Linked DNA regions of Elephas maximus indicus. The protein of the gene in region 3 interacts with the protein of the main gene of each other region in a biochemical or structural test. Links are inferred from orthologs where the notes say so. Each region holds a gene or a part of one and is shown on either strand. Other genes may lie near its edges. The genes, in order: FGFR2, KIT, PLCG1 and GAB1.

Region 1 (7,410 bases), on a different chromosome or scaffold from region 3:
TGCCGCTGGGAAGGGCAACAGAGGGAACCGAGGAGCACTGCAATGCTTTCCATTTCAACAGCCATTTGTAGGACTCAGATGGCCTGCCCAGGACATGTTTCATCATTTCATCACAGTTGAGTCTTGGGTAGGCACCGCCAGGCCTTTTGATGGGGGAGCTGTGGAATTTAGCAGCCAAAATGACTCAAGGCTATGTTAAACCCAAGCCCGTATTAATACTCAGGTATTGTGGTGCTAAGGAGCCCTGGTGGCATGGTGGTTAAAGCGCTTGGCTGCTAACTGAAAAGTCAGAGGTTCGCACCCAACAGTTACTCCGCGGGAGTAAAATGCGGCAGTCTGCTTCTGTAAAGGTTACAGCCTTGGAAACCCTACGTGGCAGCTCTACTCTGTCCTGTAGGGTTGCCATGAGTCGGAATCAACTTGACGGCAATTTTTTTTTTTCTAGATTGTGGCTCTACAGGTTAAGCTATTTCCTTTAACCCTCCCAATAGTCCTAGGAGGGTTCTCCACGAGTCAGAACTGACTGGCAGGCACACGGTGACAACAATAACAATAATCATAAGTAACGCTTACATAGCTAGCAATTCCCATGTGCCAGGCACTGTTCTGCTTGTCACCTCCTAAGGCATTTAATCCTTTTAGTAATCCTATGTCATTTACCAGGATCCCTGGTGGCGCAGTGGTTAGGCACTCGGCTGCTAACTGAAAGGTCCGCCATTCGAACCCATCAACCACTCTGTGGAGGAAAGATGTGGCAGTCTGTTTAAACAAAGGTTTACAGCCTTAGAAACACTATGGGGCAGTTCTACTCTGCCCTGCAGGGTCACTATGACCTCAAATTGACGGAACAGCAATGGGTTTTTAATGCAATTTATCAGTATCAGTTGCTGGGGAGTCAGTTCCAATGTGTGGCTACCCCTTGTGTGTCAGAGTAGAACTGTGCTCCGTAGGGTTTTCAATAGCTGTGACCTTTCAGAAGAAGAGTGCCAGGCCTTTCTTCTGAAGTGCCTCTGGGCAGACTTGAACCTTCGGCCTTTCCGTTAGCAGCAGAGCAATCACATTGACCGTGTGCACCACCCAGGTTGATCCCCCTGTGAGATAGCTGCCATTCTTTTGATCAATTTACAGACAAGAAAACAGAAGACTCAGAGATCGTAACTTGCCCAAAGTCACACAGCTATTGAGTGACCAGATCCACAACTTGACTGTGGAATCAAAGCCTTGTATCCCCTCAATTTAGGGTAGCAATGCTCCCTCACCTGAAGGTGAGGAGATACTTCCAGAAGGACTTTCTCTCCAGGTAAGTCTCAGCTTTGAAATTCAGGCCCAATTCTAAGTTCAGAATCATTGGTGAGGTTCAGTGGTGGATCCATGATTTTGCTTCCGTTAAATGCCACAGGCTCCCTGAAAATGGGTGCTTGCTGTCTGGGGATTCGGCCTCTCCCCTCACCTCCAGGAGTAAGTACTCTTAGCATGGTCCTTAGACTATTCAGTACTCATTCCTACTGCTTTGTCTACGCTATGCACATTATTGACCTTTTCCTGACCTAACTTTTCTGTAGGGCGAAGGAACAGCCACCCATCCAAAAAACATATTATGAAAAGAAAAATCCCAAATCTTTGAAGAAGAAAGGCCTGTGGCAGTGAAGGTCTCCACCCCTTCCTCTTTTCTCTTCCCATAACCAACGGGCTTGAAGCACAATTTGTTTCTAGAAACTTCTGGGGCATCGGAGTTCTAGTGTCCTCATTTTTCTTCCTTCCCATTGATGTATCATTACTAGAGTAAAAAAAAGAAGGGCGTCTCGAGGGCTTTTTGGGGGGGAAAAAAAAAGAGTGCCTACTGAAGACATTTTGTAAAGGGGGGAAAATTGGGAAGAAAAGAAGCCTCAGTAGGGGGTGGAGGGCAGTGAATGTGGCCTTGTCTGATGGTTCTTTCAGCTGAAACCTGGTGCTGGCGCTCCTTGTTCAGTTCAAACTGTCACCTTTAGTTCTTGATGGCTTTTCTGCCCTCGTCCCTGAACCTCAACAGATTGGGGCTTATTTACCTATTCACACTCCGCCGTGGTAGCTCATTAATAGGCTTATTAGCAACACCATTCATGGGAGGCCATTGACAAAAGGGGCTCCAGCCACTCAAGAGGGAAGAGAAAAAACTGTAAAGAGATTATTTTCTCATTCAGAAGCCTCGCTGGTGTGAAAGCTTTCCTAGACCCTCTGAGGTCACTTGAAGTCTAAATTTGATGACAGAATTGATTAAAAAAAAAAAATAGTAATAAAACATTCCAAACATGCTTCTACTTTTCTCAAAACTGAAGCGTTTGCTGCAGTGGGCTTGTGGCTTCACTCACTTAAAAAGGAGCACTCTTGAGGGAATAAGGGGCTTTTGATGGATGGGTGTCTTTTCATCCCTATGAAGAATAAATTCTGGAAACTGCGTCTGGATGTTAAAGAAGGTGTTCTTATTTGTTATTTTCAGCGGAAGGCTTCCTTCCCATTCAGAGAACATAAAGCTATTGATGAATGAGAGATACGGACTTGGGTTTCCTGCACCATTAATTTATGTGAGAATGTGTGAACAGCATTTTCGGTGGCTGATGGATACCGTACAGGATGAGACAGGAATCTGCCCTGAGACACTCGGGTTTCCCGTTGGTGGGGAACATAAAGATGTAAGTGACGACCTCCCAGCAGACTGACATTCAGAGGTGACCCTAGGTCTGAGAGCTTGAAAACATTTTGGTATGGACAGAACAACCTAGATGGGAATGAGTGGCTGAGGGACACCTGGCTGAGGCGTCATTGAATTCAAAGATTCAGGGACTGATCCAGGTTAGAGGACTTGATTAAAAGCATATCCGTCTGGGGCAGTTCTACTCTGTCCTATAGGGTCGCTATGAGTCGGAATCGACTCGACAGCAGCGGGTTTTTTGTTTCCTCCCTCTCAGCAATGGGCTGATAATTCCGTCTGAGACTCAGACTCTAGTTTTTGCTGCCAAATTTCCAAAGTATAATTTCAGAGCTGTTTGCCTCAATCAGTGGTTAAGAGCTCTGCCTGCTAACCAAAAAGTCGGCAGTTCGAATCTACCAGTCACTCCTTGGATACCCTACAGGGCAGTTCTACTCTACAGGGTTGCTATGAGTTGGAATCGCCTCACATGGCCATGGGTTTAGTTTTTGGTTTTGCCTGAATCATTTAATGGATTTGCACTCTTTCCTGGCTTTTAAGTAATTTGTATGAAAGGTTTCTACGATGTATTGCAAATAAAAAAAGATTTCCTAATAAGGTGGCACCTTGGAAAAATATTTTCATAAATGTTGCAAAGAATACAGTGTTCAGGAACTACGTGCAACTCTGTTTCTAAATGCAGGCAAAGTCGGTTTTCCGGGTCAGCGTGGCACTCACTGCTCCGTTTGTCTGTCTTTAGGCCTCAGAAGCCTTCTTAAGTCACTTCTTGGTTTAACGACCTTTCCTAAAGAAAGATAATTAAGGTTTTTTTATCTGTATTGCCTTGAACTTAGGCAGACTGCCTAGGAGCTGGCTAAGTGAGGAGGGAGAGAAAGTACAGTAAAAAAGAAATGAGCCTGTGGACACAGCTTAGTGAAAAAGGTAGAGTGGAAATAGGAACTTGAAAGCGTATCAGATACAACTCCCTGGTTTTGCAGTCAGAGAATCTAAGATCCACAGAAAAGAACTGATTTTCTGAAGGTCCAAAAGCTATTTGTGGCAGAGTTGACTTTTTAGAATTTTAAAAATGTTTTAGTAACCCAAATATACATTACAAAACAATTTGTTGTTGTCGCAGTTTTTCACTTTTTTAAAAAGGGCCACGTTCAAAGTCAGCTCTGCCTGGAACCAGCTGTGTGACCCTGGGCAAATTACTTAACCTCTCTGATGTTCAGTTTCCTTTCCAGAAATTGGGAATATTGCTCTGCAGAGGGGTTGTGCCGATTAAACAGAATAACTTATTCAGAACTCCTGGCACATGGTGGGGCCTCCATAAAATATTAGGTTTTCCCCCTCACTTCTATGGTATTGAAGGCCAGGGGAAAAAAAAAAAGCAACCCCCTACAAAATTTCCAAGTTGTCTCACCTTCTTCAAAAGTTTCATTTGCATTAAATTTCTCCTCCCAATAGCACGCCTACGCATTTCAAAGTTCCTTTAAGGGTAGAGCAGGTAATCTGTGATTTGTTTTCTGACTTGAAACAAAACAACGTCACCCAGGCACCTAGTAAAACGTTGGTCAGTTGACCTCCCAAGGGAAGGGAAGGAGGCGGTGGCGCAGGTTGGGGGAGACCGGCCTTGTTACTGGAGGATAGAGTTGCATCTCCCCGTCCAGATCGCGCCCGGGCCCCTTGCCTGCCCGGCCGGGGTCTCCCGGCCGCTCCAAGGCGTCGGGGGCCGCTCAGGGCTCGGCGCGGCCCCAGTGCGCCGCGCTGATTGGCAGAGCTGGCGCCGCCGTCCAGGAAACGGCTCGGGTTTCAGCGGGGGCGTGACCCGCCGGAGGAGGCGGTGGCGCGGGCGGCGGCGGCGGCGGTGGAGAGCGCAGAGCGCCGCGGAGAGCTGAGCGGCGGCGGGTGCGGAGCGCGGAGCGGGCGGCGGCCGCACAAAGCTCGGGGCCGCGGGGCTGCATGCGGCGGACCCGGCCTGGCGCCGCAACTCCTCTCCAGGCCGGCGGGGCCCGGAGGCCGCAGCTCCCGTGCGCGCTCTCCCCTCTCGCAAGTGGCGAGCAAAGTTTGGTGGCGGAGACGCCGAGCCGGAGTCCTTTCTTCCTCTCGCTCCCCAAACCCGAGCGCAGCCGCGGGCGTCATGCCCGCGCTACTCCGCAGCCCCGGGTGCGCGTGAAGCCCAAGCCCCTGCACTGCCAAGGATCCAAGGACGACACTCGGCTGGAGTTTCCACCGAGGGACCCCCGAGCTCGGCGCTCCCTCCATCCCGACCCACGCCGGCCGCGGGGACAGGACCGATCGCGGAGCCGCGTTGCCATTCAAGGTAATCGCTGAGCGGGACAGAGCGGGACGCCTCGCCAGCGGGACAGGGGCGTCGTGGGGGCCCGGGACGCCGGGCCACTGACCTCTGGGGGAAGGCGCGGGAGAATGCCACTGGGAAGAGGGCCCCTGGCCTCCCTCTTGCTGCTTAGGTGATGGGGAAGGTGGGTGCGTGCTCGCGGCTGGCGTTTGGGAAGTCCTGCCTCCACCACCCCCGTCCAGATGCTCACATCTGCTTCTTGGGTTGACACCCCTTCTCCGTCAAATTCCGCTGGCTCAGCCCACCGTTCCTCCGACCCCTGAGCGGGTGGGCGGCGGGGCTGGTTGCTGGTGGCACAGCCCCGCAGGCGGGGCGCCCTGCGGGGCACCTTTGGGGTGCTTCATCCCTGGGCCTGGGGAGCGCCCGTCCCATTCCATCTAAGCTCCGTCGGTGGACCCTTACCCGGGAGGGAGCCGCTGGGGTGGGACCGCCGACATCCCGGTTGCCATCCCCTAGTGATGGCGATGCCGGGTGGGGGGCATCTTTGGGGAGGAGCACTGTTCGGGTTCCCAGATTTCGTAGTACGCGGCCGCCGCCGGCGCTGGAGCCCGGGCAGGCGGCGAGGGCTGGAGGGAGCGCGGCGCCCGGGGCTAGGGGGCGGGCTGCACCGACTTTTCCCGGCTCGCCCGCCCTGCAGCCGCTCGCAGATGTCGAAAGCGCCGGCGAGTTCTGACTTGCGCGCTCATTCTTCCAGAGGCGGGGCTCGCTGGGGAGCCGGCCGCGGGCTCTGCGAGGCGCCGGCCCGACCACTGCGGCCCGCGGGGCCGAGCGCAGGCTGCGCTCTGCGGAACGGAGCCGGCCCGGGCGGACAAGCCACCGCGCGCCGCGCAGACTGCCCGCTCGCAAACTCCTCCAGCCCATCCTTCTTGCCCGATTCAATGAACCTACTCTTCCCGGCGAACCTGCTTTCAAACTCGGGGCACCCATTATGTGTTTGGTGTGAAATGCTATCAACATTTAAAACCCCATTGTCCCCCTGGTCCCAAATCCCTGTAAATCTTCCACCGGTCTCGACTCATTTTCATCTGAAAAGCCTGTTTAGTTTGAATAGAAAAGCAATCAGGCGCCCCTCTCCCAGGAATGTCAATTAAAATGCAGATTTTTTCAGCTTTTTAGCGCGGAGGACTGGGAAGAAAAACGGGATATTCTAGCAAATTGATGAAAGAAATGCTACCATGAAGTGGGGTGGTGATGGTGAGGAGTACCCCCAAACTGCCCTCAAGATCTCGGTGGCTTGCAAGTGTTCACAGGGCGGGGACTGTTGTCCTGGGTCCACCCGTATTTATTTTTTGCGATTTCAGTGTGTTGAGGAATTTCCCCCCCGGACTTGACACCTTGGCTCCTGCCCTACTCAGCTCTGGGGTGTAGGGGGAGCAGTAAGGAGGCTTTGAGCCGGGAGGTGCGTGTGCCCCTTGGGGCAGCGGGGCATCCCCAACCTGGTGGAGCAGTGTCGACTTTCTAGATGTGAAATCTACCCAGGAGCCAAGCACCCAAGAGCCCAGTGTGGGTGACCAGCAGTGGACAGAAGGGCCAGTCCACTAAGCCGGGCCCTGGCATTGGCCGTCCTTCTTGGAGGGCAGGGGTTTGGGACTGTTGTGGGAAGTTTGGGAGCTGAGCGCTGGCCTGGGGACTACTCCCGTGGTTCCTTTCTCCCCAGTGGTCTCTTTGCCTGTCTTTGGGGCCGGCTCGTGCTGAGGGGAGAATCGACCGGGAGAGCGGGTGGCCGCGAAGACCCATCCGTCAGAGGGAGAGTGACAACTCCTCCCGCGTGCAGGCTGAGAAGACAGTTCCCTTTCAAGGGGAAAAATAAACACGCCGGGGCTTTCACTGGGGCTCAGGCTCCAGGAAGGATTATGGTATTGTAGGCAGGAAACTGGATTGTGGCCGCCAGCGGCATGCTGGGCCTGTGTTCCCAACTCCGAGCTCGGGACCTAATTATCCCGCGTAGGGGGCCGCTCTGTATTTTTGTCCACTCGGGTGCGGAGCTGCTCGGACCTGCCGCCCCAGGCCGCCACTTTGTCGGGATTTGGGGAGGGGCTCCTGTGGGGCCTGGACCTGGAACTGCGGAAGTGCAGGGTTCTGGTGGAAACATGGGCTGAGTGAATGGCTTTAGGTTTGGTGGAGGGCACTGCCAACCTTTCCCTGCCCAGAGCTAAGGAGACTTCTCGGAGGGAGGGGCAGATGGGCAAGGCGGCTGGGGGAGCAACCGGAGCGCGGGCTCCTGTTAGGAGTCAAGAGTGTGGACAAACTTGTGTGAGAGGCAGAACATTCCCATGCGTTCTGGACTTGCTTAGTAAATCATTGAGTGTTTGTGTGCCTGCCTCCCACGTGCATGTAGGAATAGATGCAGAGTTATCTTTGGAGGCCTTAACTTTAAGAGGAA
Region 2 (7,942 bases), on a different chromosome or scaffold from region 3:
TAATCCATCCATACAATTGAACATGATACTGCCATTAAAATTGTTTTCCAAATTTTTTTAATAATTTGGGCAATGCTTATGTGATGTTTAGTGAAAAAGCCAGATAGAAAACTAGCGAATATAGTAAAATCTTAAATTATGTAAAGAAAAAAAAAGGTCATATATAAGCAAAGAAAAAAGATTAGAAACATACCAAAATGAACTCTTCAGTGATTATTATCTTAGGCAATTTTTGGTTTTTTGTTCTTTATAATTTCTGGCACTTTTCAAATTTTCTACAACAAGCATTTTTACTTTTACAATAAGAAACATAACATTTACATTTTTCAAGTTAGAAATTATAGTGAACATGTTCTGTTGCCCAGCATCATTCCTCCTTCTTCTGGCGAGAGTACTTCACTCTTTCTTGGAGGACACACCTTTCCCCATTCTTAGAGTGAGTGGTATGGATGAAGTAGAGCTCTGTCTTAGTTATCTAGTGCTGCTATAACAAAAATACCACAAGTGGATGGCTTTAACAGTTTATTTCCTCACAGTAAAGTACGCTAAAAGTCCAAATTTAGGGTGTCAGCTCTAGAGGAGGCCTTTCTTCCTCTGTCGGCCTTCTCATCAGTCTTCCCTTTGACTAGGAGCTTCTCCATGCAGGGACCCTGGGTCCGAAGGACGCGATCTACTCCCAGTACTGCTTTCTTGATGGTATGAGGTCCCCCTGGCTCTCTGTGCACTTCTCTCTTTTATATCTCAAGAGATTGCCTCAAGACACAATGCAATCTTGCAGATTGAGTCCTGCCTCACTGACACAACTGCCGGCCATCCTCCCTCATTAACATCACAGAGGCAGGATTTACAACATATAGGAAAATCACACAATACCGGGAATCATGGTCCAACCAAACTGATACACACATTTTTTGGGGGACATAATTCAATCCACAATAACCCCCAACATTTCCGGGGTAGACATGTGACCCAAGCCTGGCCAAGCATTATATCTTGTCCCTCTGGCCTCCTTGACTGGTTTTCAATGTGCATGTGACTTAAACCAGGCCAGCAAGACCCAGTTTTAGTGCTTTTATAAACCTTTGCAGTGAGTAGATTCTGACTCACAGCAACCTTATAGGACAGAGTAGAACTGCTGCATAAGGTTTCCAAGGAGCAGCTGGTGGACTCGACCTGCTGACCTCTTGGTTAGCAGCCATAGCTCTTAACCACTGTGCCACCAGGGCTCTAGAGTTTTTATAGGAACTGTTGATGGGGCAGAGAAGTTCTGCTTCCACTGGTATTAGAGCTGAAACCTAGAGCTGCCCGAGTGCACAAGAGACAATTAAACAACAAAGAAAGTATTGTTGAAAGATGGAGAAATGTATGTATGTGTCTGTACACACACACACACCACCCTCAAGTCCTGCCGACTCTGAGTTCCTGGATCTAGGAATGTCTAGAACTAGCACTGTTCCTGGACTGTCCAGTTATAAGAGCCAGTAGATTTTAGGGTTCTTTGTTTGCTTATGCCAGCTAGAGCTGGGTTTCTACAAGTTGTAATCAAATGTCCTCATTGACACAATTATGAAAACTATAAAATACATCCTATATAAGATACAGAATATTTGCATCATCACAAATGGTCCACTGAACAGTGCTGATCTATAGTATAGTTCAACCCCATAGCTGTTCACTCGCTGTAGTTATACATGTCTGATTTCAGTACACAGCTAACAAACCCAAAGGCCCAGGTACTGGAGGTTGTCTGCTGTGCCCTGCACAAAGCCTAGATCTAAGGAGATTGAGGGCATCTCAGGGGAGAGGTAGGGGTGAAGGGACACTTAGGAAGTGCTTAAGGCAGTGGCTTTTTTCCAATCAGTACAGAAGGATTTCAATATTCTACTAACCAATATGGCTAAATTGATGTGTAACGGCTGAGTAAGAGCCCTGTTAGCAGATATTATAGTTTCTTATTTGGATGTTTGTTTTTCCTGCTGGACTGTGAATTCCTCTAAGTAGGGATTTTGTCTTACTCATTTTTGGAGGCCTAGTGCCTACTGGGAAACCCTGGTGGCATATAGGTTAAAAGATACACCTGCTAACCACAAGGTCAGCAGTTCAAATCCACCAGGTGCTCCTTGGAAACTCTATGGGGCAGTTCTGACTCGATGGCAACAGGTTTTCAGTAAATGTTTGTTAAATAAATGAATACAGATGACATTCTAGCATTATATAATCCCCTTATTCCGATTTTTTTTTTCCCCCTGATGGAAGTTTCCTTCCTAGAATTAAATTGCAATATGGTCTCTTTTTACCCACTCTTCTGAAGACTTGTACTCTCCAATATCAGTTGATTGAAGAAAAAAATTATAAATTTTCTCTCTCAGGCACAATGTTGATATTTTAACTCATAGTAATTTTTTTTCTCTTACAAAATGGATTTGAGTAATAAATCAAGATCCTGGAAATTTATGATTGCCTCAAGTGATATCTTTGATCTGTCATCTTAAGAAAAAAGTATGGTCTGATGGGCCAGAGCACAAACAGAGACCTTCTGAGTTTCAGTTCTCCCACAGCTGTGTGACTTAAACCATTTGCTAGGAGACTGGGATGTGGGTTCCCACATATAATGATAATGACTGTGAGGGCAGGCCCACATCTGGCTATTAACTATTGTACTCCTGCTACCTTGAAGGAGCCCTGGTGGCAAAGTGGCTAAGAACTCAGCTGCTAACTAGAAAGTGGGTGGTTAGAACCCACCTGCCACATTGTAGGAGAAGGATGTGGCAGTCTGTTTCCTTAAAGATTTACAGCCTTGGAAACCCTATGGGGGCAGTTCTGTTCTGTCCTATATGGTCGCATGAGTTGGCGATTGGTTTTGTTTTTTTTGGACTCCTGGTACCTAGCTTCTCCCTGCCTCACAGGTGTTTTTGTTAGGTGCTATCTAGTTGATTTCAACTCATAGCAGTCCCATGTGACAGAGTACAACTGTCCCATAGGGTTTCCGAGGCTGTAATCTTTATGGAAGCAGATCGCCAGGTCTTTCTCCCCTAGAGCTGCTGGGTGGGTTCAAACTGCCGACCTTTGGGTTAGCAGCCACGTGCTTAACTTTTGTTTCACGGTTGTTTTTGTTGTGTGTTGTAGAATCGACTATGACTCATAGAGACCCTATATGACAGAAAACTGCCCCATAGGATTTTCTAGACCCTCAACAAAATGCATTGACACAGTGGCTGTAGCAATGGGCTCAAACATAGCAAGGTTTGTGAGTTATGGCGCAGGACTGGGCAGCGTTTAGTTCTGTTGTACATAGAGTCACTATGAGTCGGAACTGACTCGAAGGTGCCTAACGACAACAGCAACAATCTTTATGGGAGCAGATCGCCAGGTCTTTTTTCCTTCAGAGCTGCTGGTAGGTTCAAATCGCTATTAGGTTAGCAGCCCAGATCTTAACCACTGCTTTGCAGTGGACAACAATAAATGTTTGTTGAATGAATACATAAATAAATTTAAAGAGAAGCAATTATACATATTGATCATTTGATCATCCTCTAGTAGTGATAATTTTTAAGTGATTAATTTAAGCCAATTTAGGTTATGTCAGCATCAAACAGGAGAGCTTTCAACATTAAATGAAGTGGGGATCTGGGCAATTATAAATTTTGGATGATACTTTAGAGAGGAGTCTAGGTGTACCTACATTGTTCTATAGCTTTTTTCTGATGGGCACTTCCCATTTATTTTCCATTCTTAAGCTCTGGGGAAAGTGGGGGGAGGATGTTTGTCTAGTTCATCAGAAGGCATAGGGAAAGCTCATCGTAACCTGGAGTCAGTTTTAAGATTAGGGTTCCAATCCTGGTCTCCCCTTTATTAGCTGTGTGATCTAAGGCGACTTTTAGAAATAAAATAATAAAGATATCTGCTCTAGCTACCTTATAAAGTTGTTATTGTGAGCATGAAGTAATATTCAGCATGGGGAAGAATTATAAAACTCTATACAGATATTGTTGTTACATTTCATTCAGGGGCGCCACCATAAGCAGGTGGGCGAAGCACTTTCTATGCAAAGGGACCTGGGTTAAAAGTATCATTTTACTATCATTTTGAGCCTGGCACGGGCTGGAGCAGCTAAGAAGAACGCAGGGATCCTCAGCCCTGTAACTGTCGTGATACAGACGCAGAGAAACTGCATAGAAAAAAAAAAAAAAAAAAAGGCACCCAAAAGGCTTTGCACAAGGATTGGTGCAAGTGGGTTTAAAAAATCAGGTTACCTGAGCAAACTTCGCAAGGCGCCCTTCCCCACTCCAAGGCCGCAGTCTTCAGAAAAGTCTGAGCAGGGGGTTGTTGGGTGGAGGCTACGCCGACCAATAGGGAACCAACTATGCTCTTACAGGTAACGGAGCAGGTGGAGAAACTGAGCATAATTACCTAAACTCCCTTTTAGCCTTTTACCGCGACGCCAGGCGCCACGCTAGGTCCCACTTGTCTAACAGGAATGGGGAACAATGTCGGGGTCCAATTTACTAACCACCCCGCTCCCGTCCCGGAACCACTTCCACCACCAGAAGTGTCCACGCCCTCCCTCATGAGTATGCACGAAGGCTGGCGGCCAACCTTTATTGTTTGGGGAACACCTGGCAGGTGGTGAGCCCTTGCCCTAAAGTGCGCTGGTGTTCGGCTTCACAAAACGCACACCCTCGTCCAGGAACTGCCTCCCGAGCCTCTACCACATTACAGAGGAGGAGAGGTGGAGAGATGTAGGGCTCGGGGGTCGAGACCCTGGCTGCGAGGGCCGGAGTGCCCTCCCCCGCCCCTTGGACACAGCCCCCAGGGATTAGCCAGTCGAAAGAGGTTGGGGCCAGCGACGCTAGAAGGGAGCGCAACCCATGCGGGCGGGAGGAGGGGAGGCGAGGAGGGGCGTGGCCGGCTCGCAGGGGGAGGGCACTGGGAGGAGGGGCTGCTTCTCCGCGCTCAGGCTCTGGGGGCTCGGCTTTGCCGCGCTGAATGCACTTGGGCAAGAGCAGGAACGTGGAACAGAGCTCAGGTTCCAGCGCAACCACCGCGATGAGAGGCGCTCGCGGCGCCTGGGATTTTCTCTGCGTCCTGCTTCTCCTGCTCCGCGTCCAGACAGGTGGGAGAGCACGGCGGACACCCCGGACCGCGCCCCCCAGGGCAGCCTATGCCCGACGAAGGGCTGAACATACTGGGGTGTGTCGGGAGAGGTGGCTGTTGGCCTTTCAGGTGCCAGGCGTTTTAGCCTGCGGGAAGATTCGAGGCGTCCCCGGGGACTCTCCTGCGCCCTGCCTTGCTCACCTGCGCAAGAAGCCCCCAGTCCCTGGTGCTGGGGCCACTGAGCTGGGAACCAGAAATGAGGGCAGCGAGGGGGCTGAGGGTGAGCGAGGTTGCAGGCTGAGGGCAGCCGAACTGCATGCGAGTTTGGGATTTCTTTTGTGCCGAGGGTTCGCGGGTGGTAGAGGCGGGCGGTCAGGGGTTCGCACCGAGCGCGTTATCTCTACCGTGCGAGGTGCGGCCACAGCTTCCTTTTGTTAAAAGTTGCGTGCGTGTGACCGGTACCCCAGAGGGCCGGCCGGCAGGTTCTCAGCCTTGCGTAGGGTAAAGTTCGAAAGCCTTTTTTTGCTCTGTGGCTGCTGCTTTCCAACCACGGGCGCTCTTTGTGCCTGCCCAGAGATAGGAACCAACGCGCTACCGCCTCTACTAGCGGCGAGACCGGTGGAGACGAGTCGGAGGCGGCTGTGCTTCCCGGCTCCCTGGTTATGCTTTTGCAAGCGAGGCGCGCGGCGTGCGGCCGTGGGGCCGGACCCAGGGTGCGTGGAGGTGGCGACGACAGGGTCAACTTGGGCAGGGCGTATAGCAAGCAGCCGCTAGGTTGCAGACTTTTTGCTTTTGTAAATCCCGTGCCGGAGGCTCTCCCCTTTTTGCCGCGATGCCGTTTCATCCTTCCACGCGCGCCGGAGCGGCTGGAGGCTGCGTTTGCCGCCGGCTCCCGGGGAGACAGGGACAGCGCGCTGGGGCACTGCGATCCACGACCCCAGTAGCCGCGCGCGCCCAAGGCAGTGTCCCAACAGGCTGGCGGGGCCCTGGAAGCCCCTCGTCTCGGCGACCTGTGATCGCAGCTCCCAGTTTTCTTCGGGAATTTTGAGATTCGCTGCACCCCTTCCCACGTAGTATTAATACTTCAGAGCAGCCTGAGGTGGGGGGTGGGAGATGGAGTGGAACTTTCTGCAAATTCTCCTTGGTTCTTAAAGCTGTTATGGAAATCCAGTTATATCCGCGCGGGAACTTGGGTCTTAAGGTGGGGAAGGATTTGCAGATTCCTGGACCGCTTCCTGACTCCTTTTTTTCTGGGTGTCGCTGGTACACGCGGCCCTTGCGGGTCGCCTGGGTAACCCCCTGAAGCCCTTTTCTCCCTCAGGTCATTTTTTTTTTTTTTTAAATCATTTAAGATTACCCTGATGATGTAAGGATAGAAAGTGAGTCTGAACTGGAATACAAGGGCTCCAGAGAAAGCATCGCAATGAACTATGGTGGGCTCTGTCGACTACCGGTCGTTTCTCCATAAAGTCTCAAGACGCAGCTTCCCCCTCCCGGTCCGAAAGGCATTGTGAAGGCTTTCCTGTCGGGGAGGAGAGGCCTTCCATCTGGACCCCTGTGAAGTAGGAGGGATCATGAGTCAGGGTTCCAATGCCTTGGAATTGACTGCCTAGCTAAAACGACGTATGCGGTTGTTACGTTCTTGTGTCTTATTTTATTTTTTGATTTCAGATAGGGTATGTGAACTAGACCCGAGTACGGTTCCAAGAAAGACAGGCCTCATTAAACATTTCCCTTTTTTTTTTAATTAAATGAATCGATTGTTTCCTTCTTCCCCATAATTCTCCCGCTTCATCCAGCAGATGTTTGGCAAAGGGAATTTTAAAGTCTGTGTCTCCTGGGGAGCACTGTGGTGTAGTGACAAAGCCTTGGACTTCCAATCTGGTTCGTTTTCTCTGCCATTCATTGGCTGTGTGCCCTTGGGCAGGATGCTGAAATTCTTGGGGATCCCAGTTTCCTCTGAAAGTATAATGAGGCATCCGCCTCATGAAGGTTCCTTTGAGTCCAAAATTCTCCTCCAGAGTTCTGATAGTCAACTGAGCATCTTTCTCAACTCTCTCACTGACCCCTTCCAGCTGTCTGGAAATTTCTTTGCTGCTTCTGGTCACTAGGGCCGCTTGGTGTGACCTACCTGTCTGCCCTTATAGTTTACGCTACCCACTCCTCTGCTGCCCTACAGTTTGCCTCTGACAGCTAGGAGAGGTGCCAACTCTCTAATGCCACCCCCTCCCTCCTCTAGTATTTACAGCTCCTATGTCAGGCAGGATGAACCTGGAAGGAATAGTGAATCATACCATCCCCTTGTTCCTGCAGGTGTGAAGCCAGAGTCATCGCCAGCAGCTGGACACAGGGCATGCTGGATTATTATCCTGCTGAAAATAATATGACAGTTTTATGGAGCGATCCCAGATAACTCATTTAATCCCATTCTCCTTCCTACCCATCCACTCATTTTTTCCTATGACTTTATAAATCATATATACTGGGCTTCTACAAAGCACGTTTTCTAATGTGCCCTAAATTTCATATTACATAAACTTGCTGCCCTTGAGTCGGTTCTGGCTTATAGCGACCCTATAGGACAGAGTAGAACTGCCCCGTAGGGTTTCCAAGGGACAGCTGGTGAATTTGAACTGCCAACCTTTAACCAGCCACCAAGCTCTTAACCACCGTGCATGTGTGTTATAAAATAGTTGTTGCTCTTTGATTAGAAAATGTGTGCCAGGCACTGTGCTGGGAGCTTTGCCTGTCATTTCCAATCCTCTCAGCAAGTCCAGGAGGCAGTACTATTACACCCCCAGCACCTACAGCTGAAGAAACTGGCTCAGGACAAAACACTTGCCCAAAA
Region 3 (7,344 bases):
TCCCTCCCAAAGTCATTACAAGGAACAGACAAATGAAGACTCTTTAGTGTTTGCTGTTTATCTGTTGAAAACATTCTCCACTAGTTCAACCAAATAAATGTCCATTCGAGAAACTGGTTTTATAACTTAACCGCAGGAAAATTTTTCTCCCCCAAGGAAGAGAAAACTTTTTGCCTTGGCTGCCAGGAAGCTCAAGCCACATCTGATTCTCACAGTAGTCATGTTAACCTATATGGTTATCTTCTTCCTTCTTACGATCTCATATCCAATTTCTGTACTGTAGTATTTTTGTCCTTTCTTTTAAATGCTCAACTTTTAAAGGGCTAGAAAATAATACATTTGTGGTGGGCATAGCAATGTACCACCCAGATCGCTGTTCAAGCAAGGACTTGTTGCCCCAACTGCTGGGAAAGCTGTCAGCAGATAACCTTTAGCTGTTAGCTCCTCTAAGATCACCTCAGCTGCAGAGAGCTGTCTTGCCAAGGTTGTGCTTTTCCCAGGATAGTCCACATCCAGTGACTGAGGCTGAGCTACATGAGTTGGAATCAACTCGACAACTACAACAATAAAGGCTCCCTGTGGGGTTGGCTCACTGTTGTCAGACTTACGTTACAGCTTAATTTCTCCCTCTGCCCACTCCTGTTTCCTTCCTCTCCCTTCCACAGTGTTGATCCCAAGGGCACTCTTTAATAAACATTTGGCACACTAACCTCTGTCATAGAGCCAGCTTCTAGAAGAACTCAACCTGCAGCAGCATTTAACAAAACTATAAATAGAAAACAGATCAGGTAGTGTTAGGGAAAGAAAGGAGGATACAATAAAATGTCCATATTACATGGGAGGCAACATAGCATTGACTAGAGCCAGAGTGCCTGGCTTTGAATTATTAGCTGTGTGACCTTGGGCATGTCTCTTAACCTCTCTGTGCCTCTGTGTTTTCTCGTTTGTGACACGGGGACATTAGTATTTAAAGGGTTGTAATGAGGAGTAAATAAACCAATGTGAGTAATGCAGTTATGTGGTGCTTGCTTTGCATCAAGTACTATTCGGAGTGTTAAGTAAAACAAATACCTGTGAGGCCAAGTTCACAAGACAGAAGGGCAGCTGGGCTAGGACTCCTCCCCAGACTCCGGACACAGACATTGGTGTAGGCAGGGCATGTTGAAGCATGAGTGTTCACAGAAATAGGACCAAGCAGGTCTAGCCTGGTGATGTCAGAGCCGTGTGCCTGTGTGGGTGCTGGGGCTGTTCCCTCCCAGCAGGCACAACTGCATATACTGCCAGTAACACCCACGCACCCATATATATATGCTGAGCTGGGAGAAGCCCATACCGGCCACGCCCTCTGCGCTGCGCCCTGCTTTTCCAGAACCTCCTTTGGTGGAGGGAGGCAGCTGAGTCCTGGGGTGCTGGCCCAGAAGTCCCAGGAGGAAATGAAATGGGGCCCTGGCAGCAGATCGAAAACATGATCTGTTGGCAGAGATTTGTGGAGCCCCCATGGGCCAAACTCCAGAGGCGAAAGCAAGAGCAGGGAAGCCTGGGTTTCACGTTTGGGAAGCTCCCAGAAAATAGAGAACCAGATATTTAAGGCATATCACAGCCCACAAGAACCCTGGTGGTGTAGTGGTTAAGAGCTCGGCTGCTGACCAAAAGGTCAGCAGTTCCAATCCACCAGCCGCTCCTTGGAAACCCTATGGGGAAGTTCTACTGTGTCCTACAGAGTCTCTATGAGTTGGAACCAACTCAACGGCACATAACAGCCCACAGGTTGCCCGAGTCAGCACAGGGGCCTCCTGGAAAAATGGACAAGAACTGGATAGGCATGGAGGAGCCCCATTTGGCTCCCACCTTTCTTCCTGGTCTCCTCATCCCCGACACTCTCCCTCATTCACTAGACTCTAGCCTTCTTTCTATTTTTAAACTCACCATGTTCTTTCTGGCCTCTGGGCCTTTGTACGTGCTGTTCCCTCTGTCTGGAAAACACTTTCCCCCAACACACCCTAATAATTCATCGGGCCATCAGCTCACGTCCTTTAGACTTCCACTGAGTCCTAAAGAGGTCTTCCCTATCTACTTGGTCTGAAGTAGGTCTCTTTAATGTTTTATTCCATAGTCTCCCGTCCTTTTCCTCTGTAGCCCTCATATATTGCCCTTATGTGATAAAGTATTCGTTTAATGTCTGAACTCCTGGAGGGCTGTTGTGGTTGAGTCCTTCCCCATCCGTCAGCTAGTGGCCTCAGTGCCTGGCACAGGAAAACTCAGGGACTGCATTCAGGGGCCCACCCAGTGCCGTCAAGTCGGCAGGACCTCATTAAGACCAAGCAAGCCAAGCCATACTCTGTGAGCACCCATGTTCTGTGGGGTACCCTGTGCTTAAGGCCGGTGTGGGCATGCCTCCTTACCCACACTGATTAGCCAGCTAGCCTCCATGCCCACTGACTACTAACCACCAGGGCCTAATTAAGCCAATGGCTCTCTTGGGAGGCAGAAAACGCATGGAATCAGGCAAACTTGGGTTCAAATGCAAAGTACCCCACTTGTTACATGGTTTTCTCTGGGCAAATTGCAGACCTTCTCTCAGTCTCCTTATCAGTAAAATGGGGACAAAAGTCCCCAGTTAGAGGGTAGTTGTGAGATTAGGTGTGACCACATGTGCAAGGCACTGGGTCAGCTTTAGTTCCCTGCCTTCCACTTTAAAGGCCCATAGCTAGGTGGCAGTCCATCTCAGCTGCCGCATCTCCCCTTAGGTGCTGAAGCTAGGTGAACCTATTAGGACAAAGCTTCCCAACTTCATGCTGGAATTCTGAGCTTCTTAGTGGCCGTGCTCGAGGGAATTAAACACACACTACTGCAAAAGAGTTACTGTTTCTGCAAGACCTGGCAGCCCAGACCTACCCAGCTCAGCTATTGGAGTACGACTGTGGATTGCCTGAGCACACAACCTCACATACTCACAAATTGCAGTATAGGTTTATAGTCTCACAAATTCCAGGTAACCTGGATCTCTCTCTGGCATCAGCTGTGTATGCTGGGCCTCACACTCTGAAGTGCAGTAAGTTGACCTGCTCTGCCCGGCTGCTGACCATCTGCCTCGCTCAATATCTGTATGAGAGACTCTACTGTGACCGTATGTGTCCTCAGTTCTGGTGGCATTCTGTGACAGTGGCAGCTAAAGTGCAGAGAAGGAGGTGGTGGTCTCGGGAACAGCTTTAGGAAGACAGTGTGAGTTCTTCAAATAATCACAAAAAGCACTGTGGCTGGAGAATGGAGAGTGAAAAGGGACGGTGAGACAAAGTGGGGACAGATCATAGGAGACATTCCAGGCCAAGTAGGGGGTGTGGATTTTAAGTCCAATGGGAAATCCAGGGGTTTTAGGTCAGATATAGAGGAGGATGATATAACTTAAAGATTAATCTATGGAGAATAGAGGCAGAGGGCAAGAGTAGAAGCATGCAAGATCAATGGGTAAAATAGGAGAGAAAGATGGTGGCTTGGGCTTGTGGGTGGAGTGGAGAGAAATCTGAGGGAAGAGCGAACAGGACTTGCTGATGGATTGATGTGGGGTTGACACAGAAGGAGGGATCAAGGATGTCACCAAGGTTTTGGCCAAAGCAACTCAGAAGAGTTTACTGCCATTTTCTGAGAAAGTGACCACTGTGGAAGAGCAATTTGGAAGGTGAGGTGCCTGTGTTGAGAGATGTGGGGCAGGCAGTGGGATGCTTGGCCCTGGAGAGCAGCAGAGATACAGATTTGATGTCACGGTGTCTGGGTGGTGGTTGGAGCCCTGGGAAAAGTCAGGTACCTTGGGAACTGACTCAGACTTGAGCCTACAGAAAGAGAAGCTTCTGAGGCCAACAGGGAGCAGCTAGAGAGGGAGGTGGAAAACGAGTAGAGTCCGGCGGGAAGGCCAGAGCTCAGGCAGGACCTGGGCCCTCGCCCTGACTCTGACCGGGGACCTGTCCCGCTGGGACGGAGCGGGGGGTAGGACGAGCTGTAGTCGTTGAGGGACAGACGCAGGCCTCTGGACAGTGCGGCCGCGGGACCACAGGCCCTGCCGGGGATGCTAGGCCCGGGGGACTTGTCCAAATGGGGGTACCCTTGAGCGCCACACTGGCCGCAGGGGCGGGACAGATGTGGGACTGCCGGTCTTAACAGCGGCCTGCGGACCAGCCCCGCGCGGACAGAGGGGAGGGGGCGGGACATGCCTGCTGTCCATCAGTGCCTGCCGGCCAATCTGCAGGCGGCTCCGCCCCGCCCCCCCGGGAGGGCGCGCGGAGAACCCGCCTCCGCCGCCGTCGCCGCCGCCGCCGCCGCCGCCGCCGCCGCCGCCGCCGCGGGTGTAAGGCGGCCCGGCTTGGCCTGGCTCCCTCCGCCGGGCAGCCCGCCCAGGTAACTGGGCTAGGCCGGGCGGGCCGGGGGGCGCTCGACATCCCCACAGCTCTAACGCGGCGTCGCGCGGGCGGTGCTTGGGGCGCGGGGGTGGGGCGCGGGGCTGAGGAAAGGGCTGCGGTTGGGCCTGTGCGGGACAGCGGGCTGGGCGGCCTCCCGCGCGGGTGCGACTGACGGCCGGCGCGGGGCCTGCAGCCTGTGGGCGGGGCCGCCAGCGTGCCGGGGCCGGCCGCGGCGGGCAGGCTGTGTCCGGCGCCGCGCGGGGCGCTCTGCGGGGCCGAGGAGCCGGCGGACTGACGGGGGGCGGCGCGCGCCCCCGCGGCCCTCGAGCCCCGCCCCCGCCTGGGGCCTGCCCGGGGGTCGCGGGGCGCAGGCGCGGCGGGCGGGGGTCCTCCCCACGGGCGCGCGGGCGCCTTTGTTCCCGGCGCGCGGGCGGGGCGGGGCCTGCACGAGCCGCCCCGCCCCGCCTCAGGCCCCGCCCCGCCTCCGGCCCCGCCCCCGTCTCCGCCCGCAGGAGCCTCGGGTCCCGCTCGCCGGCCGCCTCAGCCGCCTCGGCCGCCGCCACCTCCGGCTCCGGGCCGCCGGGCCTGCGCCGCCGCCGCCGCCGCCCCCAGAGCCGGAGCCATGGCCGGCGTCGCGTCCCCCTGCGCCAATGGCTGCGGGCCCGGCGCGCCCTCGGACGCCGAGGTGCTGCACCTCTGCCGCAGCCTCGAGGTGGGCACCGTCATGACTTTGTTCTACTCCAAGAAGTCGCAGCGGCCGGAGCGGAAGACTTTCCAGGTCAAGCTGGAGACGCGGCAGATCACGTGGAGCCGCGGCGCGGACAAGATCGAGGGGGCCAGTAAGTGCGCCCCCTCCCCGGCCCGGCGCGCGCGGGGTGGCCAGGTCCGGCCCGGCCCCGCGCGCCCCGACGCAGCTCGCGGGACTCGGGCAAACTTTCGGGCCTTCCTCCAGCCCCCGCCCCGCCCCCGCCCCCGCCGCGTCTCCGGTGGTCACCGGGGGCGGGGGGCATCCGGGCCTCGGTCACCTGACAGGACACCCCCTCCCCCAGCTGGGGGGAGTGTTCCAGGCTCTTTGCCCGGAGGCCTAAAAATCCTAGCGAGTCGCAGCCCAGCGGCGCAGGCAGCGGGCCCCCCAGCCCAGGGGGGCGGTGTTGGCGCAGCGAGGGGCGGCAAGGCGGCGTCCCCCACCCCGCGGAAAACCTGGGACCCGAGCAGACGGTCACCGCCCACCACTCTCTCCAGAAAGAGCGGGCTTTAGGAAACTCTCTGGGCCCTCTGGCTGGGCTCTTGTTTGAAAGAGGCACCGTGGGGTTCCTTAAGTAGAACTTCTGCAGATGTTGGGGTCGGCCTGGTTGGGGGGCAGAGCCAGGCCTACTCATCACCCTCTTGGGAAGAGGGAGGAAGGTGGTCTTGTTTGGTTTGAAAACGCCTGAGAGAAGTCCGTGGCCGCTCTTTTCTGCTGGTTCTTTTGTCCTGAAGCTGAGTTTTGGAGGCTTGTGTGGGTCAGTAGAACCCACTGCCAGGACACAGACTTTTGGTAAAGGGGCCAGTTTCCCTTGCCCTTGGGAGCACGTTCCCTGAGTGCAGTGGTGTCAGGTACTCATCTCAGTAGTGCTCAGCCAGGTTGGGAACTAGCCCTTTGTGTCACTCATCCTGTGTCCGGTGGAAGCAGGGAACGGGGAAGGGCTACTCTTGGTTTCCTGCCTCTTTGCCATCCTTAAACCTGGGCTTGGCTCCTTTTCATCAGGTCTCTGGTGAGAGGAGGGAGGTGGGGGATTTCGAGAAACCCCACATCTTTCAGAGTGTTACCCCACTTAACGGGTGCCCGTGCACACTCAGCTCAGCCCTCCATTCCCCCGCCTCCAAGTGTGAAGAGATGATGTGTCTACAACTGTAGACCGTGGGTTGCTTCCTGCCAGGACCCCCCAGAGGCTGTTGTTGGAGAGATCGGGGCTCAAAACTAAGTCCGGGTGGAGGAAGGGGTCAGGAAGTGACACCCCCAAGGGAGGCCCTGATAGATCTTCTGAGTATGGTGTACATGCGTTTAGATGTTTTAGGAGATTGGGAGGAAGGAAAGTGTGGTGACGGAGCCAACCTCAACTAAAAACTCCAGATCTGACATAGCCGTTTGAACTAAGAAGTGGTGGCCTCTTCCCTTATGCCTCCATCTGCCCTGTCAGCCATTGGGAACTCTTTTTTTTTTTTTTTTTTTTTAATGATTTGGAAGACTAGATTCCAAAGTGGAGGAAGGACAGACACAGCAAAGAACAGGGATAGCCCTGGGAACATCCCTCAGGCATCAGACTCCATGCTTCTGTGATGTTCCCTGTGCTGTGTTGAATTGGTGGCACTGGCTGGAGGTTCCCAGGTAGAGATCTCCTGGGTAACAGGCTGCATTTTAAACCATACGAGTGACCAGCGGGCAGTTAAATGTAGCAGAGTGATTGCAATGCCCGGTTTGAAGCTCAAAGCTAGTTTTGCGTTCCCCTGCCAGTTACCTTCTCTGAGCCTTAGTTTCCTCATCTGTAAAAAGGGAGATAGCAATATGTCCATCGTATATGGTTTCTCTGGAATTAAATGAGATAATTGATTTAAAACATCTAGCACAGTGCCTGACACATTGTAACTGTAGTAAATGTGAGTTGTTACTAATAACAATAACAATAATAGTCTACACTGTCCTCCCAGGTTCTGGGAGGTAGAGTATGGATGCAAGAGAGCCTGAGGGTGCAGGAAGGGAGGATGGGGGACCAAGTTCACATTTCCCCTAAATCGCTACCCTGAAAAACGGAGGAAATGACTTTGTTTTGCCCCAACCCACCCACCCACTCACCTACTACAAAGAACAGTGTTTCTGTAGGAAAGTATTTGGAGTTTTGCACATCTGACTACTGGGTGTGACTTTCTTGTTTGTAAATTGGGGCCCAAACAGAAAGCAGGGGTGTGGAGGAGA
Region 4 (7,810 bases), on a different chromosome or scaffold from region 3:
CCTGAATGAATTTGGACTTTAGCCTAGTTTACTGTGAGAAAATAAACTTCTCTTCGTTAAAGCCATCCACTTGTGGTATTTCTGTTATAGCAGCACTAGATGACTAAGACAAAGAGATAATCTAAAAATGGCAAATAATGTAAAAATAATGAACATTTCTAAAATACGTACATGGATACATATCTTCAGCCCTTATTTGTTCTGTAGAAATATCAGCTTAGAACATCACAGTAAAAGATAGGGGAAAAATGTTTAAAGATTTCTTATACGGAAATGAGTTAATTGACTACTTATTTGAAATAAGGGAAAAAAATATTGGAATAGCCAAATGCTAAACAGTGGACCCACCCACTGCTGTTGAGTTGATTCCGACTCATAGCGGCCCTATAGGACAGAGCAGAACCGCCCCATAGAGTTTCCAAGGAGTGCCTGGTGGATTAAAACTGCCAACCTTTTGGTTAACAGCTGCAGTTCTTAACCACTATGCCACCAGGGTTTCCCAAACAGTGGAAGACATACTAAAATTTTCTTATTAAAAAGAACTTGATAACAGGGAGTAGCAAATTTGCTAAAGCCAACAGTTATGACTCAATGACAGATTAGCCTTAGAATGTAATTCGTAAATACTTTTGACTCAGTGTATATACACACTGCCTATGGAGAAGTGAAAAACAAATGCAATGATTTATTTTTGTTTGGAGGACTTGTGGCAAGATCTGTACTCATTTACTTAAGAATGGCTTTGGCTCATTGGCTGCCATGGTGAAAACTACACCCACTTGTGTTCTAAAAAGCCTTAAGGTTTAAGAAAAGCAACAACAAACACTGAAGCCCTCTAACATCTATATATGTGCCAGGCATTTAATAGTCTATCATTGCTAATTTTCACAAAAATTCTGCAATATCAGTATTATTATTCCATTTCACATATTGGGAAACTGAAGCTCGGATACACCGTGTAATTTGCTCAAGGTCATGATTTGAAAAATCGATGACCTGAAAAATGAATCCAGATCTAAAAACCAAGCCCTTGTGATACTCAAAGTACCTGTCAAAAGATGAAGGGCTCAGACATGGATTGGACTGGACAATGGGTTGGAGAGGGATGCTGGTGAGGAGTGAGCTTCTTGGATCAGGTGGACACTTGAGACTATGTTGGCATCTCCTGCCTGGAGGGGAGATGAGAGGGTGGAGGGGGTTAGAAGCTGGCGAAATGGACATGAAAAGAGAGAGTGGAGGGAGAGAGCGGGCTGTCTTATTAGGGGGAGAGTAATCTGGAGTGGGTAGCAAGGTGTATATGGGTTTTTGTGTGAGAGACTGACTTGATTTGTAAACTATCACTTAAAGCACAATAAAAATTATATATAAAAAAAAAAAGATGAAGGGCTCTAAACCTCAATGGAACCAGACCTCTTCTGATTTTATTTTTTCTACATACTAAGCTCTTTATGTAAGCTGAAGATAGGTTTAGAATACCAGCTTTATTTTCCGATAATTTACTTACTAGGTTGCTAAATTAATTCTATTTTCATAGTATTTTTCTGATACGGGTTACAGTAATGGAGATATTAACTTAATGGAGAGTTACTGAATGATGAAGCCATTTACGCTTGTGTAATGGGGGTGTCATTTATCAGTGCCCCAGTTTAGGAGTCTGGGGCTTGCACAATTCAGCAGCCTCTCTGCTCTTTCTTCAGAGTCTTTCTTTGCCACACTTACAGGTGCCCAGGGGGCTCCATTTGGACTATGATGTAACCAGGAGTCCGTGGGTGGTGTAAACAGTTAATGTGTGTAGCTGTGACTGTAAACCAAAAGGCTGGTGGTTCCAGTCCATTCAGAGGTGCGAGAGAAGAAAAGCCTGGTGATCAGCGGTGTCGCTAGGGCTGGTGTCACCCAGTGCAGTAACTCAGGTATCACCCACCCCCCAGGGAGCTCCTCCTGTACCAGATCATACAGAAGCCTTAGTAATGTTTTTTGTACTAATGTTACTTATGAATCATAATTCTCATATATGACTCCTTTTCATTTAATTACTACTTCATTCTCAAAAAAGTTATTGATAGAGGTTCACAAACACTAATTACCACAATATTGTAGCTAAAACACCAGAAAATTTGGCAAAATCGGCGACTATAAAAACACTGGGAGCAACAAAAACAATATCGTGTGCTTGCTGCATGTGTAGATGAAACCAGCGTGATTTGCAGTGTCATTGCCATTGGCTAATAACGACAGCTCTGATGGGATCGCATTAGACTGTTCAAAAAATAAATTAGCATAGTTTTAGCCTCCTAGGTATATTAACACATGTAAGCTGGGCTTATGAAAAATGTTTCTGTTGTTGTAACTAATGAGATTTTTTATAGTCATTTTGGTGACATTCCCTCTGACAGTGTCACCTGGTGTGCCTCCTCCCCCATGCCTCTACATCTGAAAAAATTAGCCATGGAAAACTCTATGGAGCACAGTTCTGCTGCGTCACACAAGGAAGGGGTCGACATAAGTCAGAATCAATGCGCCGGCAACTGGTTTGGATTTTTTGGTTGTACGAAGTAATTCTTTGCTTATTCTTTCTCCAGTTCTCTCTATGGTTAACTCTTTTATCCTTCAATAAACCAATTCTGATTCTCCTCTTTCTTTAGAGCATCTTTCAAATCTCTGGCTAAATACCTCCTCAAGACCTAGTCCCACCTGTTATTCTTTACCTTGCTGTGTTTATTTCCTTCATAGCACATTTATCACAATCTGTACTTATGTTGACCTTTTATTTGTTTACTATCCTATACCACCCAGGGCTTCACTATTACCTTAAAGGAAAGGTTGGCAGCTCAAACCCGCTCAGAGGTGGTTCGAATCCACTCAGAAGCAGAAGCTCTCTAGTTTGAAAAGGTCACAGCCTTGAAAATTCTAAGGAGCACAGTCTTACTCTGCACACATGGGGTTGCCGTGAGTCCAAATCGACTTGACGGAAAATTACAACTACAGCCTTCTAAAATTTGTTTTGGGGCTTTATTTTTCGTAAATAAATTGGAAAATGTATTACATTACAGGATCATGTTACACTCAAGCCCAGGTAAAATAATTGTAAAACACACAAACAGGCAAGTAGAACAGAACATTCAGTAATTTTCCCTTTTCTAGCCAAACATACCGGGCAGGGGTTGATTTTAACCAAATACAAGTGGAAGAAGCTGACAACAAATGGGGTGAGCGAAGGACTTCAAATTCTTTGGCTCCATGAAGTGCTCCCACCACTTTCGCGGCGCCGCCAGGGACTCTCCCACCCCAGTCCTGGCGGTCCCCAGGACGCCATGCAGCCGTCCTAGACCCGGCTCTTCGGTCTCTCGCGGCGGGAACCCGCGGAGTCGCCGCCTCCCTACGACGCCGGGGTCTCTGTCTGGCCTCTTTGGCTTTGTGGACAGTCAAACACGGAAAACCCCGAAACTCCCGGTCTGGAGCACAGTACGCACTCGGAACTGACACCCGGGCTAGCTCAAGGTGGTAAGCCCGGCACTGAACATGTTAACGTTCCCCGCCCCTCCCCGCGCCCGAGCCCCGCCGGGGTTGCCCTCGCCCGGCCTCCGCCGCCTTCCCAGGCGAGGGGTACTCTGGGGGCTCCCACCGACACCATCGCCGGGCGGCCGAGATTCTGCTCTCGCGTTCCGAACTACAGATCCCAGGGTGCCTCTCGGACTCCGGCTCCCTCCCTCCTTAGTTCGCTCCCTCCCTCGTTCTCCTCCTCCTCCTCCTCCAGCCCTTGTTGTTTTGGCTGGAACGCTCCGGCCGAGTTTCAGAGAAAGTCTAGGCAGAAACCGGAGCCGGGCCCGAACTGGGAGGAGAAGGAGAAAAGGGAGGAACAGCAGCCCGGAGGCCAAGAGAGGGAGGGATCGGGCCGGGACCCGTGGCCGCTCAGAACCTGCCGCGCACCCCAGGGTGGGGGAGGTGGCGGGGGAGGAGCGTGAGGGGACGGGACAGTGGGATCCCTCCCCGCAGCCGGGCGCCTCATTCCTCCGCCGTTCCCCGCCCTCATCGGCGGCGGCGAGAACGGACCCACCCTCTGGCGGGACCTGCGCCCTCTCCGCGCCCGCACCTCGTCGACGCGCCGCGCATCGCCGCCGACTGGGCGGCTCCCTCCGCGTCCCGGGACCTTGCCTGCACCCGCTGCACGCGGGACCCTCTCAGCTTTCCCTTTCCTCCCGGCTTCCCGGGCGCCGCAGAGAAGCGAGCCGCCCTCCCTCGAGGAGGACGAAGGACTGGATTGCGCAGGGCTCACCGAAACCGAGAGCGGGCGAGCGGGAGTAGGCACCGCGCGGAGCATTGTGTGCGTGCAGCGGTGTCTGTTTCGGAAGGCTCTCTGGGGAGGTTCTGTCCCGAGGGGGCGGAGCGCAAGGCACCGAGGCGCTGGCTCCTTGTCCGGATAGAGTCCCGCGAAGACGCCGGCCCAGTTGAGCCTGAGCGCTGCTGAGGCGGCCGGTGGGACGGCGCGCCTGGTGGCGAGGCGGGCGCATTAAGGAGAGGCCGGGGCGCCCTCGGCCCCGCGGCAGCCGCTGCCCAGTGCGGTCGGCAGCGGCGGAGCATCCCGCTTCTGCTCACATCTGTGGAGCTGCCAGCGAGACGCTCGGACGCCGGGAGCCCCGCGCAAGAGCGGGCCGAGCGCGCGTTGGGAGCTCGCCTGTCCTGTCCGCGGAGGGTGCGCGGCCAGGAGAGCTAGGACCTCGCCGTTGTGCGCCCCGCAGGCGTCGGCTGTATCGGGAGCGCGCCTGCCCGCCCCTCAGCTGCCCCGCTCAGGGCCGGAGAGGTGTGCATCATGAGCGGTGGCGAAGTGGTCTGCTCGGGGTGGCTCCGCAAGTCCCCGCCGGAGAAAAAGTTGAAGCGTTATGTAAGTAGAGGCTCTGCCAGCGGCACCCGGTCCCGAGCTGGCTGGCGGCTGCAGCTGCTCGCGCGCGGGGCTTTTTAATCCGCATCTCTTTTACCCTCGGCCCCTTCTCCCATCAGGCTGGGGACCGGGTGCTGTACACTCACGCCCTGGCTTACACTTCACTTCGCCTGGCAACTTTCTTCCTCCAGATTCCGGACGGCCTGCATTTCGGGCCTTACCGCCCCATAGGAGGGCCCAGGGTTTCCAGATGAACTCCCGCTGCATGTTTTTACTATTGCTTCTAGCAGTTGTGGGGTGGGGTAAGGCGGGGAGAGGCGCATTCTCCTTTCTTTTTATCTTTCTGCACCTAATTATGGGGGTGGTGGCACTAGGAAAACCGTAGGGGCCGCCAGCCCTCTTTGGTCCACGCTCTTTCTTCACTTCCCTTGGAGGTGGGTTTCGGGGAAGGGACGGTGGAGCTAAGAAATTGGTATCGGAGACAAGCATCTCATGTCTGCGCAAAAAGAAAAAGTTCTTAACGCGCCCTACCGTTTGCTTAGCAGGGTTCACATTTTCGCGGTTTTGAATTGAGGGACATTGGAGTTTGGCCCGAGAGCCCTGGCGGTTTGCTGCGAGAGGAAGGCACTGGGGGGAGCCTGCTGGCTGGTGTTTGGGCGTCTTGAACGCGCTGTCAAGCCCCGCAGGAGGGGACAGCTGAAGCCAGAAGGAATTTCTGTGTGTTGCCAATCTTTCCCAGGGCACCAGCGTGGCTTAAATGGCATTTGTGTAATTGATACACGATGCTGTTGGAAAAAATATTCCTTGAAAGAACCAACTTTAGTGGAAATCTATGTCCTCTTCAGGCGTCTGAGATCTCCCCGCCCCCATTTTTTTTTTTTTTTTTTTTTTTTGTCGCTGCCTCCTGCAAAGGAAAGAGAGAACACTTTTATGCTGGCGTACGGAGCAAATACTTTTTCTAGTAAAATTTTAAAAAGCAGTATTTATGTTCACTCAAATATAAATTTTCTACCTGGGACTGACACTTGTGCTACTGGAACCTGTTTCTTGTTGGAGGATATCTCCATCCAGTATTAGAGCTGAAGTTAATCGTATTAGTCACTGTTTGCTTTCATGGAACAGACTGAAGTGCAATATTTAACTTCACTGACAGCTCACCAGTGAGTTTCTGGTTTACTTTTGCCAGAATTTGTTATAGACAAGTAATTCTCATTTCAGGGATCGATGCCATAAATCCTAAGAAAGTTCTCCAGAGATTTTGAATCCTTCCAAACTCTGTCACTCCACCTGTCAACTGTTTGTCTGCATATCCTGGTAGAGATACTAGCTTTATTCCAAAAATAAGGGGAGAGGCAGTGGTTTTTTCAGCTCTTGGTTCTAAAGGGATAGGTGTGTGTGAGAGGGGGGTGGGTAGGGAGCTGGAGGTATGTTAGTTTCGAGAAGACACAATTTAGGAAAGACATGCAGCTGTTGTTAGTTGCCACAGAGTTGATTCTGATCGTCATGACCCTGTGCTTGCAGAGTAGAACTGCTCCACGGGGGTTTCAGGGCTGTGACCTTTTGGAAGTAGATAGCCAGGCCTATCTTCCTAGGTGCCTTTGAGTGGGTTCCAACTGCCAACCTTTCCACTAGTAGTCTAGTGATTAGGTTCTTGGGGAACTAGGTATTGGTAATAGAGGTTTGTTTAATGCATTCTTTCACATGTTAGTTATGGCTTTTTCGAAAGACGCTAAGTACTCTATTAGGTACCATAAGGTTAGAAAATATAGGCGGGTGGGGGGAGTCCTGCCTCTTAGGCTTGCAATGTAATGTAGTATAAACCAGAAGGAAAATCAACCAAAAAGATTGTGTCTTAACAAGGACAAAAAAAAGGAGGTTCAAATGTGTGTGTGTATATATTTTATTTTTATTTTTTTCTTTTTTGACCCTTATTTTATGAGGTAGGTATTATCTCTGTTTCACAGGTGAGAAAACAATCTATCCAACCAGAACATGCCAGAGGCAGGATTTGAACCCAGGTCTACCTGACTCACTGAGCTGTAAAAGGTTAATGAGGCTCATCTAGTTCATTTCAAATACGGGGCTTGGACTAAATCATCCCTAAAGGTTCTTTCCGATTATAACTTTCTATGAGTCTGTGGATATTAGTTGAGAATGCCAGGAGGAAGTGGGCTGTAGAGCAGATGTGGTGTGCAAAAGAAATGTCAGACCTGGAGTTTGCCTTGAAGCAGCTTTTCGAGTCTTCAGGAAGACAGGCATATGTGAAAAATGAACCAATAGTGCAAAGTAGTTTATGATTATGTGCCCAGGTTGAGTGGTATGGATGCTTTGTAGATGTGTTTCAAGGAACAAGTTCAATGTAGTCTGGAACCATGGGAAGACTAGAGAGACAGTGGACTCATATTTGTGTTTTCCCTCAGCGGAGGGAAGAATATACCCCTAACAGCTGGGGAAAGGCTGTTTTTTTTTTTCTTGCCCAGTGGAGCACTAGTGTATTTTCTTTACGTAGTAGTGGAATGTGCTAAGATGGCCCAGGAAGACGGTGGGCAGGGTGGCTCTCAGCTGAGGTAGCTAAGAGGATGAGGCAGAGTGTTTAAGTGAGGCTTGTCTCATTTTTTAGCTGTGAAATTGGTTGCCCAGAAGATGTTGCCATTCCCAGATTATTGTTGATCTTTTGGCTTAGGTATCCAATTTTTTTTTATCCAATTTAGATTGTTTTTGCTAAAGCAGCTTTTGACCATTAATGATACCCAAAAACCAAAAAACCAAACCCAGTGCCGTTGATTATGTATATATGCATTGCCTATGCCTGTTCTCTTTTCACGTAGAATCTTTATTTTCTGGATGAAAGGAAACATTGTTGGCCACCCAGTGGGCAAAACGTTGCTTTATAATGGTTTTTAATGAATGGATTTGCTGTGAAAAGATATCTCA

Evidence for each region.
Region 1: the proteins of PLCG1 (region 3) and FGFR2 form a complex in vitro, tested with the Homo sapiens proteins (2 studies listed by BioGRID and IntAct). The link is inferred for Elephas maximus indicus from reciprocal best matches to the Homo sapiens genes PLCG1 and FGFR2.
Region 2: the proteins of PLCG1 (region 3) and KIT form a complex in vitro, tested with the Homo sapiens proteins (3 studies listed by BioGRID and IntAct, with this or other methods). The link is inferred for Elephas maximus indicus from reciprocal best matches to the Homo sapiens genes PLCG1 and KIT.
Region 4: the proteins of PLCG1 (region 3) and GAB1 form a complex in vitro, tested with the Homo sapiens proteins (2 studies listed by BioGRID and IntAct, with this or other methods). The link is inferred for Elephas maximus indicus from reciprocal best matches to the Homo sapiens genes PLCG1 and GAB1.

The regions. Positions count from the first base shown.
Region 1 is NC_064834.1:71,983,094-71,990,503, reverse strand, and holds the start of FGFR2 (fibroblast growth factor receptor 2), read left to right. Parts: upstream 1-4,398; 5' UTR 4,399-4,991; intron 4,992-7,410. UniProt on the Homo sapiens protein: Tyrosine-protein kinase that acts as a cell-surface receptor for fibroblast growth factors and plays an essential role in the regulation of cell proliferation, differentiation, migration and apoptosis, and in the regulation of embryonic development.
Region 2 is NC_064823.1:106,781,817-106,789,758, reverse strand, and holds the start of KIT (mast/stem cell growth factor receptor Kit), read left to right. Parts: upstream 1-4,936; 5' UTR 4,937-4,986; coding exon 4,987-5,113; intron 5,114-7,942. UniProt on the Homo sapiens protein: Tyrosine-protein kinase that acts as a cell-surface receptor for the cytokine KITLG/SCF and plays an essential role in the regulation of cell survival and proliferation, hematopoiesis, stem cell maintenance, gametogenesis, mast cell development, migration and function, and in melanogenesis.
Region 3 is NC_064843.1:28,313,581-28,320,924, reverse strand, and holds the start of PLCG1 (1-phosphatidylinositol 4,5-bisphosphate phosphodiesterase gamma-1), read left to right. Parts: upstream 1-4,329; 5' UTR 4,330-4,389; intron 4,390-4,903; 5' UTR 4,904-5,013; coding exon 5,014-5,230; intron 5,231-7,344. UniProt on the Homo sapiens protein: Mediates the production of the second messenger molecules diacylglycerol (DAG) and inositol 1,4,5-trisphosphate (IP3). Plays an important role in the regulation of intracellular signaling cascades.
Region 4 is NC_064831.1:41,427,841-41,435,650, reverse strand, and holds the start of GAB1 (GRB2-associated-binding protein 1), read left to right. Parts: upstream 1-4,796; 5' UTR 4,797-4,807; coding exon 4,808-4,879; intron 4,880-7,810. UniProt on the Homo sapiens protein: Adapter protein that plays a role in intracellular signaling cascades triggered by activated receptor-type kinases. Plays a role in FGFR1 signaling. Probably involved in signaling by the epidermal growth factor receptor (EGFR) and the insulin receptor (INSR).